Linked DNA regions of Lepisosteus oculatus. The protein of the gene in region 3 purifies or fractionates together with the protein of the main gene of each other region. This does not show direct contact. Links are inferred from orthologs where the notes say so. Each region holds a gene or a part of one and is shown on either strand. Other genes may lie near its edges. The genes, in order: mecom, histone-lysine N-methyltransferase EHMT1-like and suv39h1b.

The links.
Region 1: the proteins of suv39h1b (region 3) and mecom purify together in Homo sapiens (affinity purification with western blotting; 3 studies listed by BioGRID). This does not show direct contact. The link is inferred for Lepisosteus oculatus from reciprocal best matches to the Homo sapiens genes SUV39H1 and MECOM.
Region 2: the proteins of suv39h1b (region 3) and histone-lysine N-methyltransferase EHMT1-like purify together in Homo sapiens (co-immunoprecipitation; 3 studies listed by BioGRID and IntAct, with this or other methods). This does not show direct contact. The link is inferred for Lepisosteus oculatus from reciprocal best matches to the Homo sapiens genes SUV39H1 and EHMT1.

The regions. Positions count from the first base shown.
Region 1 is NC_090708.1:20,672,552-20,679,979, reverse strand, and holds the start of mecom (histone-lysine N-methyltransferase MECOM), read right to left. Parts: upstream 3,069-7,428; 5' UTR 2,853-3,068; coding exon 2,816-2,852; intron 1-2,815.
Region 2 is NC_090719.1:1,862,462-1,869,950, forward strand, and holds the start of histone-lysine N-methyltransferase EHMT1-like, read right to left. Parts: upstream 3,011-7,489; 5' UTR 2,996-3,010; coding exon 2,972-2,995; intron 2,904-2,971; exon of another isoform or gene 2,442-2,903; intron 1-2,441. UniProt on the Homo sapiens protein: Histone methyltransferase that specifically mono- and dimethylates 'Lys-9' of histone H3 (H3K9me1 and H3K9me2, respectively) in euchromatin.
Region 3 is NC_090697.1:77,485,847-77,493,516, forward strand, and holds the start of suv39h1b (histone-lysine N-methyltransferase SUV39H1), read right to left. Parts: upstream 3,094-7,670; 5' UTR 2,780-3,093; coding exon 2,761-2,779; intron 1,203-2,760; coding exon 1,057-1,202; intron 1-1,056. Other genes in the region: NACHT, LRR and PYD domains-containing protein 3-like, read left to right, coding at 6,264-6,369, 7,374-7,421. UniProt on the Homo sapiens protein: Histone methyltransferase that specifically trimethylates 'Lys-9' of histone H3 using monomethylated H3 'Lys-9' as substrate. Also weakly methylates histone H1 (in vitro).

The DNA.
Region 1 (7,428 bases), on a different chromosome or scaffold from region 3:
TGGCACTTCACCAAGAGCTTCTGCGCAGTCCCATAAAAAGAAATCAAATGTATTTGTCTGTTTCAACCTCCCCTCGAACATCGAGTCCTTACACCTATTCCCCTCGCCACCACCAAACGCGAAAAAAACAACTTTGTTTTAAAATCGATGTGTTCTCATTCAGATTTCCCACGGCCAGTCTCATTAGGCTTGAACTTTTATGTTATCATAAACATTGCTCACAGTATGGCCGTATGGCGAATTAAATCTAAATTAGAATGCAGTTTTATTATTATTTTATATTCATGTAATAGTCATCTTAAGGAATCTTCGCGGAATACCCTTGTCCTCTTAGAAGTGACTCTCATTCTTTCAACAGGAATTCAACATTCTCCACTTGAAAATAAAGGACTTGCCAATACTTCTAACGTCGAATGACCGTCAGTGCTACTTGGAAAACTTTTCTCCTCCGCAAAGTTTCAACGTAGCAGGAAAAAAAAAATCATTAGCAGTCGTATTACACCACTTAAAAAAAGACATAGTTGCGTTTTAGTCTCCTGGGATTCTGGATATGTTGATCATCATTAATTGATTAAGTGGGTGTTAAACTGTCAATTGCTTACGATTTACCTTTTAATTATTGTGATCTGCGCTATCTTCAGGTTATAGGGCGGTCTGGAGGCATCTCTGCAAATTGAGATCTCACAATTAAGTACTCTAAATTGTGTTGAAGCCCCCAGAAAAAGTATATTTTCACTTGTTCAGGAGCTTACTCTACCTCTTTTTGTCAAAATATAAAATATAATATTGCCTGGGAATTAAATTATGCAATTTAATAAGTACTGGAAACAATCCCCCCGGAAACTAAATAAAATTAAAATATACACGTTGTAAAAAATACTTATTCAGGTATGTCGTTTAAACAATCCGACGCTCGTCACTTTCAGTATTTGTAAAAACTTCCAATTTAACACAAGATATAAAATGATTTAACTTCTATTTAATGTTGACAACATTTGTATTATACAATTTATGTATCGATCATTTGACATTTATTTTCTTCATCACGCCAAAAAACAATTATCTTTAGATTAAATCGGGAGGATCATTAATATCGTAACATACAAAGTAAAACAACAATAATAATATATTAGGATGACCACATCAGCTTCAAGTTCATTAAACGGAAAGAGCGCACAAAGACAGGCCCATGTTCTGTTTGCGATATGTCTGACCTGTAGTATTTTTAAGGAAAAAGGAAATGATATTTCAGAACACGAAAATTATACGTTTTGGAATGATTTCCTTTATTGCAACATCTGATCTTAACCTCATTTGGGAAAAAAAATTCAAGTTATTCAATAAACCGTTCAGTACTGTCTTTGAACTTTCTTAAATTCAGCGGCGCTACCAAGAATTATAAAAGCATACAAACAGAAAACTGTCCTGGAAACGACATTCACAGCCGCAGCATGAGGTGCACATTAAACCTCTACTTTTTTCGCAGGTTTTCGATAATTGAAGCATATAAGAAAAACACTCCGTTTTGGGGGAACATGGATTTAAATTAGAATTAACACTGTTCAAAATTAAAAAGAAAAGTTAATAAAGTCATCGAGATTTTTAGAGCTATATGTAGGGCATTAAAACTCGCATCCTTCATCAGAAATGTTATTTATTGATTAGGAGAACAATTTCGATTAATACTTTCTGTTTATCTAGATCGCGGGAAACCAAGTTTGTTTGAACGTAAAGCGACAAAGTACTCGAGAATTCCTTAAAAACACTTTGCCACAATGTGAGAGAGAACTGCTAAATATAGTTAAGAAATGCTGCACTTCAGAGTATAGACAGAATACAATATTTTTACAAAAAACATATATATAATAACGATTCCATGGTGAAAACGTCCGAATGATTTGATTTACAATTCACAGCCATATCATAATATTAAAACACTAGGAAAATACTGCGATTAAAGCTGCTACAGCCTTTGCACGACAGAAAAACATATTTCCAAGGTTTTCGCTCACAGCACAGCGCAGCTATTGCAATATCCTTTGCACGCTACATTTAGCGCAATCGCGTTAATTTCTCTAACACACTTGTTGCGCATAAATTCCACGAAACGTAACCTATTTAAATAATCATCTAATGTTATTTCAGTTCAAACCCCACTCGTTTACAAACACCGTATTTTTATAGTCTCTAGAATACGCATGCCTTACGAACGAGTCCGAGATTTCACATTGTCCTGCTCTGAACAAGATTTAACTATACTACATATTTGTTCTCCGCCAGCTACGTCAATGTAGTACCTGTAAACATTTAAATGCACAGATTCCTTTTTCGGAAACTTAGTTTTCTGCTATTAGCTTAAGCCCACCTGCCTTTTCAAAGGTGCTGCTGCGAATTGAAGTGACCAGGACCTTAGCGCTTTTAACAGCGAGTTCCAGGGAACCGGACCTCAAGTTAAGCGACAGCGCCCACTACATGCAACGCAAAAGTGCTCGCAGCTCGGTCTCTGTAAAGTTCCTCTCGCATTTATTCAACTTTTTTCCCCAACTCATTTTGCTAATATAAGCTCGTGGTGCTCAGAGGACCGCTATTCACAAAAGCCAGCGGTTGCAAAGTCATTTCAAAATGCTTTCTCTCCTTTCCTTGTGCAAGGCGACAACTTGTGTACGTTGAGAGGACAGGTCAGTGCCTGCTGACATTAACGTAAAGAATACAGGTTGTTTCTATATTTAGATGTGAAAGCATTGATATCACATAAGAGATACACATGTACAAGATGGCAGTTTGCAAAACGCATACAAAGGGATATTGCACCTACTTGTGGCCAGTTTCCTTGCCCTGCCTTTGGACCTCATGATGCCAGTCTTTCGGCGTGGGTTTGTTTGATTTTTTCTTGGATCTTTTCCTCCTTTTTCTTTTTTCTCTGTCCCTTTCTCTGTGTTTCTCAATCCAGACTCGCTATCTCTCCAGCATTGTCAGTTCGGACACCTTCGCACATGCGCACAGCCAAACTGCCGGCGCCGCCAAAAAAGTTTGGAGCGATTTATCACTTGATATTACTGATCTTGTCAGATGGCGATCGAGGAGAGATCGCCTTTCGTTTCAGATCTTCAAAGTTCAGTGACTCAGAGAGAAAACCGTCCTCTGCAGAGAATCAGAGACATTAATTATAATAAACTACCCTCAAACAGCTACGGTACATACCTTTATGCTTAAATTAAACCACATTAATCAAAATTAAGCGAAATTAAAACTGTAAAATGTTTTCATTAAACAGATTTAATCGTATTCTTTATCGCATTAGGAAGATTCGAAAATGAATGAAAACGTTAACCCCCAACCCTATTTTTCGGGGGTCATCTGAAAATCTCTGCCATGTACGTATCAATGTGACAATTATCATTCAGTTAAGCACTTTAGGTTAATGCGGGTCTTACCGTGCCTGTGCCTAAATGCTTTGACTTGGGTGAATAACTCTTCCCAATTCAAGAAGGAAATGTTTATCCAGCGTTAACGTCTTTAGTTTAACGTTAAATCATATTTTAAAAACTTTTCATGGTTGCAATTCTTGATTCATCGCGTAAGCTATGGATATGGTCTTAGACGGGATACTGCAGGTCAGTGCAGATCGGTGAAAGCCTTGATTTGTTAACGTTGCAGGACCCTATTAAAATTTAGCATTTTCTTATCTAACAAATTATCTTACTTCAGTGCCCGTATAAGAAAGTACCTCTTGCTCGCAGACTGCATAGGGACATCATTTTACTGTTTAAAGCATATACCTTGCCAAGCGTTGTTCCACATCATTGTTGTGAAATAAATAACTATAAAATAGTTTTTTATAAGACAGTTATTGAATTTCATAATTGTCCAGCCATTAAAGAGATACACGATTACAATTTGTAGAGTCGAATCTTTGTCTCAAGGTTATTACAGTCGGAGTTCCGCGCCAACATTTAATAATTCCCCTGTGTAATCTATTGCAATGTGATACATATCGATACATACAAAATGGCATGCTATCTATAGCAATTAATTTGGTTTTAAAACCCGATCTCTTGATATCGACACCTTATCACATTCAGGATAGTTTATGCAAATGTTATATTCGATTTTCCAGTACATTTTAGCTAACGTGTCGAGTCTATACAGCCTGTTTTAATTATACCATTGTCGTAGCTATGTATGCATCATTTCAAAAGCGTAAAGTTAAGAATATTATCCCCCACATTACACTAGTATTGCACGCATTGAACCAAGTTATCTTACGAAATAAACAACAATATTGCCTCCGCCCGTGAAGCTGAACGGTTCATAAAAATATGCTTGGTTAGTATAAAATCAGGTATTTTAAAGGATTTTCTTGACATGTTTAAGACAAAGGGAACGTTTTCTAAAACCGTTTTTCTTTCGTCCACGGTTTTGCAATTTCTTTTAATTTCACAACTGTAATTATTTCTGTTATTGTCGTTGGCCTCGACCTCTGGCACGGCTTTTCTTATGTTCCAAGTTAATAAAATTACCAGCCGCAAAAACCGTTTGTGCTTATGTAGCCTAATACAAATTTTAAAGGAAGAAAAAATATTGAAGGGTATTATTAATAGCAGGAAATGTGCGCTTCCACAAATTGTCCTTTAACAAGTGCATGGGCATCAGAACTTATCAAAAACCCTTATCGGGTTTCTGTTTTTGTATTGTCTTTGTGCAGTGAACTTTACATCATGCTTTTTAGTTCCAGCGCCCATAACAGTAAGATTAATTTAATCATTGTAATGCAGTTAGAACACGGTTTACCCTAAATGAATTACTTAAACCGTGCTGTTAAAAATTACACTCTCTTAGTAAAGAAGGCGGACGTTATATTAAACACTTCTCCTCATTTAGACTTACAGCTGTAGCTTGAGGCAATCAGCTCAACTAGCCTAAATGGAAACAATTTTCAGTCATTGCAATAACTCACTGTTCTTGAGACCACTTTCAAAATACATACTTTATTATGATATGCTGACCTCAGTGGTTTGAGATGGCATGACTGGAAAGCACCAGACAGATCTGTATAACCCTGTAGGCTGTAATTATTAGAAATTAATTGGGTTCAAGACCCTGACTAGTATAGCTAAATTAATAGCTTGTCCTATATAGTTCAATTTTTTAATCCTATCCAAAAGGGAAAATAAGAAAACTCGTACCCAAGAGACTTTGTTTTAGAACGATAACGTTTGCTTTACCGCGCTGCTTCGCGCCTGATAAGACTGACATTCTCTCCTCCGACAGTAGAGTTATTTTGCGTGCGTTCTGTTATATTCGGCAGGTTGTTTAGGGGTTAAAATAAAAACACAATTTGTATAGTTGGAGCTGTCGCGCCGGACTAAAAGTGAAAAGGGAGCCTCGGGCGAAAGGAAATTACCGCGAGCCTGTGTGACCTTTGCGAGAGGTAATCAATCAAGTGATCAACGGGGATATTTATCAATGCTTCATCGAGCTACTTTACAACAGTCAGGGAAGAAACAAATTAAAAGATGAGCCCGAGAAGAAAAAAATATATACATAAAGCATCGCGCGCACATACTTCTTTTAATAATGATGATGTTGTCAAAATGTCTTTTTCAAAAATTTCTGCTATAAAAATCACGCAAAACGAGAGATATGCAGCATGTATATATATAAAGCAGATAAGGATTTTACAAGTGTAATTTATTTAAAAGTATAACAGAGAGATGTATCTGTTAATTTATCATAGACACTTTAAACATTATATATAAATGCAATTAAGTGCGTTCACCCGTGGAGAAGCTGTGAGAATTAGCCTTTTTCGTTCGACCAGATGAAATTTATTTTAATAAAACGTTTTACTTCTGTTAAGCTACATGAAATTCACATTATTTATGTAATGCGTTTTCACTGGATGAAATTTATTTGCTGTGCTGGGGTTGGGAGCCCTAAACGAAAACTCCTGGAGCGATTTCAAATAATTATTAGGCTTTGCCACAAATGAAAAAAAAAATGTTAAAATGTGTAATAAAACTACTTAATAATAACAACAACAGAAAACTAAATAAATTATTGTAAATGGTTGCTAGTAAAATATGTCAAACAGGACAACATCCAAGATAGAGAAAGCGAGTCACAAGGGCAGAAGCAGTGTGAACGGAGGAAGCGCTGGTATACAGTGCCCCAGAGTGGAAAGATGTGGAACTGAAGCTCAAAAACTTCACTGGATTTTTCTAAAGTGTTTATATTACGTATATTCGTTTTAATAATAATAATAATAATAATTGCTTACACTTATATAGCGCTTTTTCTGGACACTCCACTCAAAGCGCTTTACAGGTAATGGGGACTCCCCTCCACCACCACCGTTTTAGATTTGTATGTCCTTTTGGCATATACGTTAATCGCGAACATTGAAAATACAACAGACTTTGCTGTAACACAGGTGCTTATGCAACAGAATCTGGAGCCTGTTCACAATTTGAGTTTATTTTTTGTTCATTAGCGTTCCCCGTGTTCGGCGCCTCTTTCCTTCATATTGAATGTAGCACTGAACTGCCAGGTCCCTAAAAAACGAACTGCAAAAATGAAATGAAAATTTATTAATTAAAAAAACACAACATTGTTAATGTTTTAATTCCCTCGAGTTACGAATGAACCCACACACTATCAGAAAAACTCAACTGCATAAATACTCCAAAAGCTCAACGCGCAGATGGCTACACTAGAATTCATCTGTAAATATAGTTAAGAGTGTAATTAACACAATTAGACGTAACTCTTACATGGCTGTGATTTCTACTCGTTTCTCACCTGTGAATATATTTTTTATCATCTACACTCTTAGATTATTTGGTCACGGTAAATCCAAATTTAAAAAACAATCTGAGAAAATAAATGGCTTATTATTGTATGAGCACTGCCAGAAGAATGCTAACCAATTTTACGTCCTTTGCGACGATTACACAGGCATGATCAATATCCTTGAAAAGAAAATCACTACTAATGAAAACTTTTGAAGCGTCAATATTAGTCATTATTAAAATGAGCGAAAGGGGCAGTCGTAAACACTAAGAAATAAAGGACACGGGTGCTGGTCAGTTCTGTATCATATATTATATCAATTCTGCGAGGCGTCAGGGGAATTGTAAGACAGAACAGCTATACATCAGCTGGAGTTTTGAGCCCACCTAGGTCAATATGGCAGGACCTTAAACACGTGGTCAAATCAATTCATACAGACCAGAAGATGCGTTGCTTGACTGTCCCTGAATGCGAACTTGATCCTGATATTGGTATTTATGAATAATCATTAATCACGAGAACGTCAGAAGAACCATATACCAAAGACATTGAAAACCAGAAGGTAACTAGACAACCAGCCTTCAAAAAGTCTGATTAGTATTGGGAAGTGAGGTGTGTTTTCTCAATTTTTTACAC
Region 2 (7,489 bases), on a different chromosome or scaffold from region 3:
CATGCGAATCGTGAACGTGAATCTCACCGATTCCTCAGTCCACGCCTGGGTATAACTCCTGGGCATTATAATTCTGTCTCGGCATACAAGCATCTACAGAACGGCAAATCCACATCAAAGTAACCGTTGGCAGTATCATGCCGATCCTTTATCACCGCAAAAGGATCAGTGTCCCAAAACAAACTTTTCAGAGAGAGAAATCTTAACAGCTGGCTTATAAAAAAAACTATATTTGTTTGCTTTCCGTCTACAGCTCTAACTGGAAAAGAGAAACCATTAAAGCCCCAATATTGAGTCGGCAACTGTCAGGAGTCATGAAGGAAGGCTGAGGGACCTGGCCTCCTCCTTCAGCAGAACCGCCAGTCTTCCGAGCTCTTATTTCCTGAAGCCTCCAGGATAAAGCAGCCTAAGAAAGCCCCCCCACAAAGAGAGCCAGGTACGCAACACCCTCATGGCCCAGGCTCCCCTGCTGTTGCAGCTGATGAGCCGAGAGAAAGTTCGGGAGCACGCAGGCAGAGACGAGGCGCCGATCGCAGACGTTATTCCCACCCCCAGCTGCGTTTCCGCGGCACGTCCCGTCTTGGCTGCCCACGGAGACCGCGAGATCCGCCACGCCGGCTCAGCTTTCCGAGGTCAGAAAGGTCACAGCCCAAGGGCCAGCGAGGGTGTCGGAACACGTGTGGAGTGCCGAGGAGGACGGACAGACCCTCTCTGATCGGCAGTTAGCTGCTTCTTTGCAGAGAGGAGAGGTGAAAGCTGCCACAGAAATCAGAACCTTTACAGCATGGGGGAGTAATTAAGTGCCGACCTGCGTTCTGGATGGATGACTGACTGACTGGTTGACCTTCAGTCTGGTGTTACAGCAAGACCCTCAGCTCACTTCCCCCTCTGCAGGGCAGGAACCCTGCACACGGGAGGTCGAGTTTGCGAAGGTTAGGCTAGAGGAAAACGGCAACACAAAAGACTTCAGTCACACGTCCAATCTCACGCTCGTTTGTTTGCTAGAGATGAGGCACAGCCCCCAGTACAAGCGTCTACAGCTCGTTCACACACGAGAAGCACCGGTTCACTCAAGAACGCGCAAGAATCTCAAGCTCTTGAAAGGTGGAGTGCGCTACAGTGCTCCCAGGATCCGGAGCATGCTCAGTGCAGGCTGTCTTTCAGCCATTTCGTAGCGCCAGTAATTGACAGGCACAGGAATACATTAAAGAGCTGCGAGCCGTCGGCAGGCAAACGTCTCAGCCAAACGCCCAAGCAACACACTGCTGTGCTTCACCTCTCAACCAATACTCATCCCAGCACACACATCCAGAAACCTCCCCTCTCCGAGTCTTAATAAACGAGCGTTTAACAGGGAAAAAATTATTTTAAAAATCCATTTTCCATCTGGGTAGGAACCAAGCTGAATTTCCACCCCGCGCAGATCTCAAAAAAGACTTTCCTCAGAGTTGTTTCCACGCCCTCAGGAAAATACAGCTGTTCGTAATTCAGCTCGCCCCTCCAACAGAGATCCTGCTTGGAAACAAGACCTTTGATGCCAAAGCACAGAAAGAGGAAGAAAGGACGTTTCAGGAGCTAATCTCCAAGATCTAACAGTTGCAGCCGTGAAGGCAGATCTCAAGGCCCAGCTGCGAAGAAAATGCAGATGTGCAAACCCAACATTCATCCAGCCTAAAAACCAGCAAAACACACAAGAAACTCCTGGGAACCCAAACTGGTATTCTCAAACCAGATTGAAGGAATTCCACATGTAGTATTCATTTCCTTAAATTTGCAATGCATCTTAAAACAAAGCTTACAGCTCCTAAGGATGACAATAGCCGCTTAACAGATCAATTTTTTTTTCGAAATACTGACACCTCAAGAGTTTAACACAGCCAGATGAAATACTGCAGCACTCAGAGAACTTCCCACTACAGCCAGCCAGCCAGCCAGCCAGCCACAGGGTGTTTCTGTAATCGAAAGATGCAAACAACCAGGCTGTGTGGAACCCAGTCAGTCTCCGCGGTGCAAGAATAATGACTGTGGTCCTTTTCGAGCTCACAGTCTGGTGCTCAGGAATCTGCAGGAGAGCCCGAGCACTCAAGTGAATTCTGACATGTCTCCTCCAGCGCCGTCACTGAAGACCACACAGGCCTGAGCGTTTTCCAGCTACACAGCTCTACCTGTGCATTCAGCCAGGAGCATTAAGCCTGGCTCACATTAAAAAAAAATTCCACACCCTTTCCTGACTGCAAACGCCGTGATCTAACCACCATCGCCATTTCTCTTCTGTAGAGCTGAGAAATATACCATACAGGCTTTGAAACAGAGCGTGACCCAGCCTGCGGTTAAAATCATTCCGCAAGCGCTGAAAGGAACATCGAGCCAGGCGTCTTTCGTTAGATGAAGCAAATGAAGACTTTAGTGGAAGGCAATAAGAGAATTTAAAAAGTCCTTACTGAAACAAAAGGCAAATCCAAGATCGAAAGAAGACTAACAGAAATGTAGGCAGTTGTCTCCTCTTAACGCCAGGAAATACTCAGACTCAGGCTGGAAAAGCAAGTTCAGGTCTTCCCAGTCCCTTGGCATTGACTAGACTCCTGCTGACACAGACACTGGCCTGAGCCGGGGACCCTCCTTGCTCAGACGGGCCTGCTGTCTCACCATTCCAACCAGCAGGTCCAGCTTCTCAAGCACTTAACAAAAAACGAGTTACATCTGGATTCTCTCTCTTCACATGGTGGGGGCTGGGGTGGGGGGGAAAAACAGGAGGTTTAATCTTAAAACACTGTAGATTCAAGAACCAAAATCACAAAGGAAGTCAAGAGCAGGCTCTGGGAAAAATTAAAAAATCAAAACAAGACCTGTAGAGCCAATCACCGCACAGAAAGCAAGCCAGAAAAAAAAAATATATTAAAAACACACGAGTCCTTCCAAAAAATCCTTCCTCTGCTCTTTAAGACAAACCCATCCAGCAACATGGCAGTACCTGCTGCAGGCTGTGGATCTCCATGGATGGAGAGGGGGGGAAACCGAGAGAGAGAGACGGTGTGGATCTCCACTCTTCCTCCCAGCTTCCTACACATGCACAGGCCCCGCTCAGGTCACATGACCCACCTCGCCTGTAGAATCTCTGACACAGCACTGGGCATGCTCAGTGGGAGCCCTGCTGTTGCTCGGTAGAGAAGGGGGAAAAACAGAGCAGCCATTTCATGGCACGGACTCTTGCAAGAGCAGCAGGACAGGGCCTCAAAAACCGAGCTGTCCGGCAGCGCCAGCGCGCACACAAGCACTACTAAGCGACGCCGGTCAAGCGTGCTTGAGGAAGGGATCCTTGTGCTTTAAATGCAATCCTTTTCCTGTGCATTCCTGACAACAGCAGCCGGCCTGACCAGAGGACTGCTCCTACAGGACACGTGCTCTGCTTTGCGTGTCGGCACGACCACAGCCTGACCGGTCTGCGCTCCCAGCCCCCCGCCCTTTATAGGTTCCAGGCGCTCGTTTTTGCCATTAAGGCGAGAAGCATGAGTGCCATGCAGGGCAGAAACGAGAGGGTTTTCTCTTTCTCCTCCTGCAGGGAGGAATGGCAAGGCTTTTAATGGGGGGGGGGGGGGAGAGAAAGAGAATAAAGAACACTCGATTTCGGAATCCACGCGGCTCGAGAGCTCGTGAAGGTCAGGGCCGGTCAGGAGTCAAAGCGCTGGGCACGCCCGGGGTGGGGGTGATCTTTTGAGCAATCCCCCCCGCCGCCCTCCTGCTCAATCCAGCCGTGGCAGAAACAGCAGCTCGAGGCCTCGAAGACACTGCTCTGCAGCGGTTTCAAAATGTCAGACTGTTTTCCTGCGCTTGAAGATTTATATAGGTGATATTTTGCCAGGCAGAGGCTCGAGAGTAAGTAGCCTTACAGTGTAGCTAAATCACTAGAGCAGTGTAGTAAAACACCCCAAAGACTACAGCCATGGCCAGAACACACTGGAAATCTGCCAGGAACATTTTTCTGCTCGGTTAGCCCATCTAAGTTATCCTTAATGGAACAGCCACTTCCCAGATTTTTATGAGTCTCAAAAAGAGTCCCCTTTCAGCTGTGTCCCAGCATTTCAAAACCGACGGCACAAGGAAGAGGTGCAGACTCCAGTCTGCTTGTTAATTTATTTTGCCGGAGGATCTCTTCCGATCCTTAACTCAAAAATATTATCTGCTGCACAACTGAGGGAGTGGAACACAAAGCATGCGTTTCACTAGTGGTGTAGGGAAGCACGATGTATCGAGAGATGGATTTCAAACCTGTCTGGACTGGTGAAATAGGAAGGAAAGAAAAGACTAGGATGAACCACAACCAACCCTTCACCTCAGCCTTCCCAAGAAGCCCAACTGTACTGGAGGTCACCGTGTTTTCATCAAACTGCTATGTAACTGGATGACTCCAGGACTGACACCTCTGGACTATCCTTCAGAAGATCAGCCTCCCAGCACCTCCAGACGATCTGGTCTGGTAAACACAGACGGCACCTTTCCACACACAAAATCAAAGAAAAGACCCTCACACGCAGCCAGCCCACATGCCAGTCATTTACGGCAGCATCCAGATACATCATCAGACCCCAGAGGCTAACTGAGCAAATATCGTACAGACTGGCTTCTTAACAGAACCTGTGGAAACAACACACAGGGATCCCTACACCAGCAACCAGTAATTGTCACACAACACTACAAATATACATACACATGTACGGTATGATATAGAGAGCAACAGAGAGGAGGAGGAGGGGTGCAAACTGCTTACTCTAAGGCAGCAGCTCCTGGTTGCTCTAGCCTGCTACGCAGGGAGACAGATGTGTGATCATATATCCCCTATATATAGCACTCATCATCCCCAGGGATCTGAAAGCTCTTCACGTACAGGAGGGAATCATTGAAATTCTCCACTGAAGTGAGTAGTCATTCTGCAGCTCAGAGGTGAGGAGGGAGGCAATGGTTCACTGGTTGAACTGGGGGCGAGAGGTGGTGGTGGTGGTAGTGGGGGGAGGAGGGATCTTCTTCAGTGAAGCCAGATTGCTCAGGCACAGGGAGGAATTTAACCAGGATGCCAGGTGTCAACGCCCCCTTTACCCTGAGCAACGGCGCACTGGAGTCCTTAACGACCAATTAGTCAGGAAACTCGATTTCATCTCGTGTCCTCGGCAGGGCAGGACCGCCCACAGCTCGGCGCCCTCCATCGCCGGACAGGAGAGAACCAACACACACTGGCCCACCAACGGCACCGAGTCGGGTTCCAGGTCTCCCCCCCCCCGGTGCTGACCGGGCCCGGCCCCACTGAGCTGCCGAGACCCAATGAAATCGGCCCAAAGCTCTAACACAGCTGGTCAAAGGCATTTCCTGCCCCATGGTCAGTCTGACACGGGTCTCTATTCCTGTCCTGGTGGGGGGGGATCTCCATTGACTCCCGTGCTATTTTTATGTGCTGTCCCACACAGACTCCGCACGGGGTGAAAACAGACCTGAAACGTCTATTTCTGGCCCTTTCAGATGGGAAAGAGGACGCTGCCATTCGGTTTGTACAGAAAGGGACTTGCCACACCAGCCCCTTCTGACCAGTCCTCGCCAGCTGCTTCTCAGCAACTGCCGTCCTTGCAGGGGTTTCGTTTGGGTTTTTCCCAGATTTTGTCGTCACAAACACAGTCATAACCTGTGCGCGATCGCGCAGCGCCCACGACTCATTCCCACAAGGAATATTCGGAACTGTCTGGCAACCACACCGAAGAGACTTTGGCCCCGACGCACAGGAGTGAAGACTCGACAGGCCCGCTGGGCTCCCCTGGCGAGTCAGCGCTCTCGTGCTCTTGCAACACAAAGAAGAAAGAAGGGAAACGTTCGGGAGCAGGAAGATGGAAGAAGACTATTAATCTCGTTCCAAAGGCTAATGAAGATAAATGCCATTATGAACACAAGGTTTCAATAATCCCCACCGGCTCACTCTGTTCCTCAGCCCTTCCTCCAGCTAAGACAGGCTGGGGTATTTATTACAGCTGAAGCAGGAATAACTGCCTGTGCTGAGGAATGCAGTATTTTGGTGGGGAAAAAAACAGCAGGCCCTGCATAAGGAACTTCCACGAACTCAAAAACAGCCCAGCACAGGGCTCCTGGCTTCATAGAATTCAGGGACTGCCGAAAGATCAGCTACTTGGAAGGATGAAATCAAACTGCACCAGTAGCTGGCCAATACTGGGAGTCTCCAGCAGCTGGTAAAATCTGACCCAGGGCCACAGACGTGTCATCTGGCCTAAAAGCTCTTCCTGTTGCCTTACACTAGCATTCCTATGATCTGTATTCTTTCCCTGCAGAGCTCTAAAGGAGCTCCTCAGGATGACTACTGCCTCACAGGATTTTTCCTGAAACGCCTGAACCAGCTTGTCAGCAGCCTTGACACACTGGTAAGAGATCCCAGGAAACGGACGGATTCCAAGCTCTTCCTTCCTTCTCGGCTACACAACCCAGCAGAACAATCAATCTTTTTTGTTTTACTAGGGGTCGTCTAACAGTCCTCGCACTGACCACTAGGAGAGTGACCACTTGTTCCCCTCTCAGCGAGCATGGCAGGTGACATTACGATGCCCAGCGTACAAGTCCTTCTCTCATTCTGTCTCACTCCCCTCCTGCTCATCTTTCCAAGGGGCCACGAAGCCAGGCCAGCGAGAAACCGGACCTGCCCTCCAGCCGAAACTTGGGATCGTCCCGTTCCAGAACTCCACAATCCCAGCACAAAAGAGGCAGACGATGCCCCGAGGCCGGCATGACCTTGCTCCCAGATAACCAAAACCTCTCATCTTAGGTTTCCAAAGGCACCAAAGGAGTTGCGTCCCATTTTCCTGTGAGGCACATTCATTCACAGAGCCAGTTTCGTGAACCAATCTGTGTTTTCGGGAGGGTAACTACTGGTACTGTAATTCAGTAAAAACTGAATTATTCACTGGTACCTTCCTTACAGGCAGGAATATTTAATCAACAGCAAAAGCCCAGAGTGAAGTCCCACCTTGTGCCCAGATCTTCCAGGATGCACCTTAGACAGACACTCAGAAAGTTCCCCCTGTTTCAGTCATCATCTTTTAAGGGCAAGTGAAATCTGCGCTATGAAGAAGAAGGAAAAACTAACGTCACTTTGAGGGCTCACCGTTACGTTCCTACAGCTTGGGGCTGCTGGTTTATGAGGGGTCCATGCCTAATATGGACACTATTAGAAAAACACTTACAGTAGGACACATTAATTAGTTACAAAAGTGAACTGGTAGCTAACTAGCTGCTATACAACACTTGTGTGTCACAACCAATTTGTGGCTTTCAAGTGACCCCTTAAATAAAATGTTATTGAAAACTTGAGCACTTAAAACTCTGAAGCACACTTGTTAAAATCAACAGCTTAACTTTCAACACTGAGATGAATTCCAAAAAAATGTGGGCATGTAGCAGCCAAATAGAATTCTTGAATAACTACACTACACATTACTACACC
Region 3 (7,670 bases):
ACCCCAGAGCCAGACAGGGCCCGACTAAGGGAAAAACTACACACGTGTTCCTACAAACACACACTGCACATAACATCGGCCACTGTCACTAAGGGCACATACTTGGAGCTCTGAGCGAGTTCTGAATGCATTTCTCAATGTGCTTCAGAGCAGGCAGATGGTGGCATGTCAAAATTTTTTTTTTTTGCTCATTTCAAAGTTGTCCATCAGGATCTTAACATACACGTGGTGGAAAACAGGCCAAAGGATTAAACTTGATGTGTCATTGTTACCAACATGTAGACGTGGCATAAAAACGAAGGCAGTATTAACTGGTCCTCACAGTGTTCGCCTTATTTTATTGGGGTTTGTTTCCCCCCCCCAATCGGTCGCAATCACAGATCAGTGCATCCGCTCACAATTTATAAACGAGCTCATCGTCAAGAAATTAAACTGCGGGGAGAGCATGTCTGTCCTGTTCCTGGGTGACTAAAATAAAAATAAAACGGCACCAATGAGACCACAGTGCTGTTCCTGTTTAAAGGATCTAACAGGCTGTCCCCACTGGACACCATCACCAGCGCCTGCGCAAACAGCCCCCCCACTCCCACCCAATTCCCTGCTCCCGCTCTGCTTCCAGAGGCTGGGTTTGGCTCCCTGTCAGCTGCCGGGACACATGGGCCCGGAATCCGCTGCCCAGTTAAATCTGGAGTGGAGCGGGAACAGTACACCAAATATTCTTTGGAAACAAAATGCACAAAAAAAGCCAAAACAAATGACAGCTGTTAAGACATAAATGACAGTCTGCTCGACGGCCCCACCCTCAGAGAAAGGCGTGCAGCTGCTCCCGTCCGGGCCTCGAGCCCAGAGCGGTTCTGAGGGCTGAGCAGCGGACAGCCGAGAGCCAACTCCGGCCGCTGGGACGGCAGTGTCAGGAGGCAGGAGGGAGAGACCGTGCACACGTCCGTGCCAGCGCAGCAAGGGCTGGAGAGGGTCATGACCCCGACCCGCCAGCGCCCAGGGCAGAGACAGACCACCGCCAGCCAGGCCTCACCACCCCCCTGCGCGGGCACTCACCTTCGTTTTCCTGTAGTCGCACAGGTACTCCACCTCGAAGTCATTGAGGTTCTTCTTGGTGATGCCCAGCTCCTTGCAGGCCACCCTCTCTAGCCGGCACAGGGTCTGCAGCTGGCTCCACGAGGACTTGCACGCCACGCGGCACCCTGCGCACGAGCAAGGACAGCGGGTCAGCCCCCGGGCACCACACGCGCCCCTCCAGCTCGTCACGCCCTCCCCCGGGCGCCCCAAGACCACCGCCCTCTGCGCTGTGCCCTTCACAGCTGGCAGGACGTCTGAACGAGTGCAGAGCGATTTTCCACAAACCTGCGGAAGGAACACTCGGGGACTAATCAGCTGCCGGACTCCAGACGGTGATGCTCTGTAGGTGCAAACTCACCTTCATCAGAAACACAATTTAGACTCCTCACCGTGTGGTACTGTAGACACAGGGGTGATCTGCTCGCTAGAGTTATAGTTTAGGTTGTGAGAAATACTCGGAAAGATTAGTCAGAGCTTCCTTAAAGCCCCCTGAAACTCGGACTGTGTCTGCAGCCGAGGCAACCTTCCCTAGCAACCAAGACAGCACTGAGCTTTTATTCTGGGGGATAAAACAAGGGCTTCAAATCAGGAGAGCCGAGTCTGAGCCTTTCCCTGCCACACAACAACTCTGGGAAGATAATTTCTCCTGCCTGCACGACTCGAGCACCTTCGATCAACCACTGCGCTTATTTTCTCATTGCCAGCGCAGACACGGCGGCCCTGAGCATCAACAGAGAAGCCAAATCCAGGCATAAGTAGCACTGACCTGCGCCCCTGCGTCACCCACATCACGGTCACCGACTGGCCTCACCGCACCCGACGCCAAGGAAGCACCGGGGCCGAATCGCACACACCAGTATCTCATGCTTAGCAACACTGATGATCACGGACAACCAAGCTTATTTTTCCATTTTAAAAAGTGAGAGAGAACCTGAACACTCTACCACGCAATGTGGCGGTGTGCTTTACCCCGCTGAATATTTTATTCAGGAATGTCAGAAACTGCTGTTAGACTCAAGAGCAACCGAAGGTCTCAGCTGCCTTATCCCGCTCTGTTATGCGGCGGACAGCGGTGGGGTCCGGGCACGGTGAGGGATACGTGTGCCCCCTGTGCTGCAGCCAGTCAGCTGGGGCTCTTGTCGCCAGGAGCGGGGAGACGTTTCCTAACAGACCCCACCGGCGCCCGCGGCTTCACGGGCGACACCGAGCCCCGAGAGCTGCCGCACGACACAGCCCTCTGCTGCGGTCGGAGGCGCCACGGACCGGCCGAGCGCCGCGCACCCCCGTGTGGTCCCACAGCCCGGGGAGAGAGGCGAGGACGCGCGTCGGAGCCACCGGGACCGTCTCCGGACCGCAGACGGCCATCTGCAGAGCTCCTGCCCGGGCAACCGACTGCTCCCCCCACCGCGATGGGGGACCCGGGGAGGGGGGGCACCCCGCACGGCAGGCTGCCGGGGGTGGGGGGGTTCCCGGAAGGGCCCCGGGGTCCCCCGGCTCGCGCCCCTCCGGCCGGGGGTTTAAACGGATCCCCCCTGCCCCCCCCCAGAGCGAGCGCAGCGCCGCCCGGCCGCCCCTCCCGACAGGACCCGCCGGGTACACGGCCCGGCCCGGAGAGCCCCCGCCGAGCGGCGGCGAGCATCCGCCGCCTTTTTCGCGCAGGGGGCGACGCGAAAACTTTCTTACCTTTCAAATTTTCCGCCATCTTCTTCCCCGCCGCCAAAAATCTGCCTGCTTAGGCAGGGGCAGGGGGCGCACACGGCGGACGGCTCTCCGACTGGCTACAGCGCTCCACAAATGACACCCGGCGCAGCCAATGAGCGCCACCACTCCCCCCCCTAGGCACGTCCAGAGAGGGGCAAAAGCGATAGCGGACCGGAGCGATTGGAAAGCGAGTCTTTTGACTGAGCCGCGTCTTTTGACTGAGACCGCAGGCAGCGCTCGCTCACCAGTCACGCCGCCGAGCGCCCTCGCGAGCCGCCCTCCTATTGGCCAGGCCCGCAGAGGCGGGAGATCGCCGCTGCGCCGGGGTTAACGGTCAGGGATTTAAGCACACCGCCCCCAGCGATTGGCCGGCGCGGGCGTGAGTGGCGTCCACATCGAGCAATCGCCGTCAGGCGGGGGGAGGGGACAGGGCGGCGAGCGAGCGCCGTGATTGGCCAGGGGCACGCATGCCCAGGGACGGGGATCGCGCTGAGTTGTGGGTCTGGTGGTTGGTTTCAAATCAGCAGCGCGCTTCCGGTTTTATGGAAAGAATGTTACTGAGCTGCGCCGAGTCGTGTTTATCAATTGTCATACAAGGCTCGCTAATGTTTCTATTTTTAACCATTTGGGATGCCCTACGGTGTCTGTCAGTTAGACCGCATAGCGTAAATAATGGCTTTTTACTTAACTAGGTATTCTCTTACATTTGCCATTTATCATTGGAAGATTAATGTGAGCGAAAACCAATACCTCCAGCTCGACACATATTCTGTGTGCTCACATATCTCATCACTTTTCACCGTTAATAAAACTTCTGTCCTGCACCGTCAGTGACACCTCTGTGTGTCCGGAGCCGATTTCCTGTGTGAGTTTCGTGTTGGCGTTGGCCGCAAAGCACTGAAAGCAGTAAAGGTTTCGGTTTCCTTAAACGTGTGTGAGATACACGTAGCGTTGGTCACCCCGCTCAGTTTACCAAACACATACCTAATAGGAATCAAAGAGATTGTTTCAGTTTTATGTGGGTTGTTTCAAAGTCGTGTCACGGATTGGGTGACTCCTATAGGATTTACTTTTGCTTTGTAGACGACTATGCCACCTAACAATTCTAAAGGGTGCTAAGACCCTTCTCCTGCCACAAGTCCTGCTCGTCTCCCAGAATCCCCAGCGAATACACACAGACCAGCAACAGGCACTTCATTTCCTAGTGATCACAACAACTCTCACAGCACATTGTACAAAACCATAGCGTGATGGGGGTGGGAGGAGGCAGACCAGAGGCAAGCACACAATTTACACCTCAGTCACCCAACAAAAGTCCCCAGACACTGCAGTCCAGCTGTTCTGTCCTCTGTGTAGTTCCTTCGGTGATTCTCAGGCATCGTCTCCGGTCCTGGCAGTCCAGAACAACACGGCTCCCTCGTGCTCTCTCCCCACCTCGATTTCTCCGAGTCCAGGAGAAATTTAATAGTGTTTTTAATAGTGACGGCAGCCATAGTGCACCAGTGCTCTCACCTCACCCCAGCTCTCAGTGGGGAGGAGAGCAGAGTGATGAAGCCAGTTCGGAGATGGGGCTTATTAGGAGGCCATGATTGGGAAAGGCTAGGAGGGAATTTGTCCAGGACACTGGGGTAACAGCCCTACCCATTTCGAGAAACCCCCTCGGTTTAGTGTATTTATGCATCATTTTGCAGCTTTACCAGGTGGGATGCCATAGGAAGGATGTGAAGGATGGCCACTGCTGCAGCTGCAGTCCTGCTCGGGGTCACACGAGTCCGGACACCTCCAGACAGCGGATCAGTCGGGCGGAGGCCCAGGAAGTGGATCACAAGAAGAGCATCGTCGCCTTCAGTGAGACCTCTTGAAATCTTTCATAAAGTCTGCTACACGTGCCAACCACTTCCTGCACTAGGCAGAGATAAGCACTGGTGCTGAACCTCCAAAGCAAAACAGTTTCGATTCGCACCATCGCTGGCTCAGCCCAGCAGAAGGTAAGCGAAGTCTTGTTTTGTCCTCTTTTAGTTGCTTTTGCAGGTGGATTCCAAGTAGCTTGTTTTTCTAACCTCTGTAGAAGCCTTTCGCAGCCTCGTTCCCTTGCTGACAGAGGGGTATGGCGTGTGCCTGGCTGACTGGTGGCACGGCCAGGGGCCAGGGGCCAGGGGCCAGGCTGAGGCTGGATGTGTCTGATGTGTGAAACAGTCAGAAACAGCATCGCAGGCGCGAGGAAGACAGACAACAACCAGGAGCACTGCGCACAGCTGAGGTGAGACCGATCTACTTACAAGCTTTACCAAGAAACACAGCGACCTCTTTTGCCTCAGGGTATCAGATTTTTTTTAAATCATTTTCTTCTACAGGCTTGGTTCTACATTTTCAGAAAATGGAATCAATTGCCGGTTTTGTCTGTCTACAATTCTTGTGTCTGTGATGGTTAATGGGTAAAAATGTGGTCATATCCCCAAAGGAGAGTAATCATTTTGATCAATAGATGATTTTAGGGCAGCACAGTGGTGCAGTGGTGAGCATTGCAGCCTTGCAGTGCTGTGGCCCTGATTTTAATTCTGGGCTTGCATTGCTGTTGGTGTGGAGTTTGTATGTTCTCCCCCAGCCCATGTTCTTGTGGGTTTCCTCCAGGTGCTCCGGTTTCCTCCCACAGCCCAGAGACATACGGGTGGGTTAATTGGCTTCTGGGAAACCTGGCCCTGGTGTGAGTGCTCTGCTACGGACTGGCATCCTGTCCAGGATGTACCCAGCCCAGTGGCCGTTGGTGGGATAGGATTGCTGGGAGAGACTCTGGCTCCCCCTCAACCCTGAATTGGAAGAAGAGATTAGAAAGTGGACGAATTATTGAAAATCTAACATGCATGAAAAAGTTTCACATTGTCATTTACTTTCAACACATTCGCCTCACAGGAAACATCAAGATAAAATGTAGGTGTTGACACATTATTTTTCTTTTGCTACATACTGCATTTTGCTACAGAAATCCTAGCAGAAATGCCAATCTCTTCTGTATAAATATTCCTGCAATTATATTTTGTATTCTATTTTTTTTTCATTATTTTTTTGAAACATTTATATCAGGAATACAAATCATTTTCATTTATTGGGTGAAGTGACAGACAATCAATGTTCTGTCAGTATTTCTGCAGCACCGTGGAAAAGTTTGTAGCAGTACATTTGTCATATTCTTGTAGAAGAAGTAATTTAATTGCTTTTATTTTAATTACTTTTCAGCGGCGGGATTTTGACCCTCTGTGTTTGCTTGACAGATGCAGAGGAGTCTGATGTTTTAAACAGAAGGCCTGGACTCTCTCACGCTGGATAGAGGGCTGGTTGTGTTTAAGCTCCTGTCTCACCACCTCGCCGATCTCACTACAGAAGACTTCAAGCGCTTCAGACATGAGCTGCGTTACAGCAAGCAGGATGAGCACAGGATCTCCTGGTTGGAGCTGGAAAATGCTGACCGCACTGACACAGCTCACCTCATGGCCGAGCGTTTCAGCTCCCAGGCCGTGGAGGTGGCGCTGGATGTCCTGAAGTCCATCAACTGCGCCTCCACAGCACACAGCCTGCGGACAGAATGGGAGAAGGGTGAGCCCTGTCAGGGTGGTCTTCACAGGAGGGGCCTGCGAACCTGCTGCGGTCAGCTGGCCCGGCTTGTTTCAGCTCCTCAGCCAGAGAGAAACCTTCTCACTGGCTCTGTCCTACAAGGACTTTGACTGAGAGATTGATTAAACCGAGCAACAGCTGTTCAAAGCACAACATGTCCTGCACAAGTAGGAACCCAGTATTAGCATTGCTGTTTTTTTCATTATTATCAGGAGCCAACATTGTCATTTTAGGTTTATCTGAAAAAGGAATAAGGGGATATTTTTTAAATTAAAAGACTTGAAACGAATCCTTTTTAGGACAAATGGAAAAATAATTCCAAAATCAGACACCACCAATGCTGCCTCCTCTCACTATTTCCTGGAAATTGAGTCACTAACAGCTACTGATGAATAACAAAAAAGTAGCTTCAAAACCGCGTGTCTTTCCTCCTCTAGTCTTGTGAGAGAATGAGAGAGAGGGGTTTCTTTGGAGCTGTGGTTTGCCAATCAGGCTCAGTGCTGAATGACTTTCTATCACTAACTCAGAAGAGTCGGTATCAACGGGAACCTGACAGTGGTGAAACATAAGCAGCTTTTCTGCTGGTTTCACATGTGAGTGCACACTGAGAGCACGAGGTCAGCACCCCTGTCTCTGATCCCTGCTCTCGCTGTGAACAAGGGGTCTCAGCTCCCTCCCGCAGGCAGAGACAGCCCCAGATCAAGCTGCTGTTTTAATACCGGCGGGGTGTAGCTGTTCCGGGCTTCACGCCTTTTTGAATACACGAGTCAGAGGGAAAACAGATGTTAATATAGTTCCAGACTTATAATGTGTTTGTATAACCCACTGTTGTTTCCGTATTAATATGATGCTCAGCAGGACTTATTTTCCTCTCCCGTATTTATTTCCTCTGTGATTAATCCTTCAGTCATGTAAATACTGCTTTGAGAATTTTAAGGTGTCAAACTGCTGCATATCTTACTAATAATTCTGAATTTGTTCCCCAGTTACAGGTTATGATGCAGGACACTCCCCTCCAAAAAGAAGGTTGATAGGTAGGTGTTTTGGCACTGATTGTGAAGATTTGGTTAACTTAAATAGTAGATTATATGCACCATGGTGGTGCTCTCCCTCTCGTGCCACTAGTGCAGAGCATGCTCAACCGATGATTGATCTGTGAAATAAGAAGCTGATTCAGGGGGGTCACATTGAAGTAGAATACGATAATAATGATTCCTCACATGCATGCAGTGATTTCCATCCCAAACATTTCCACAGCTCTCTGCATGTAGGTGGGGACCCAA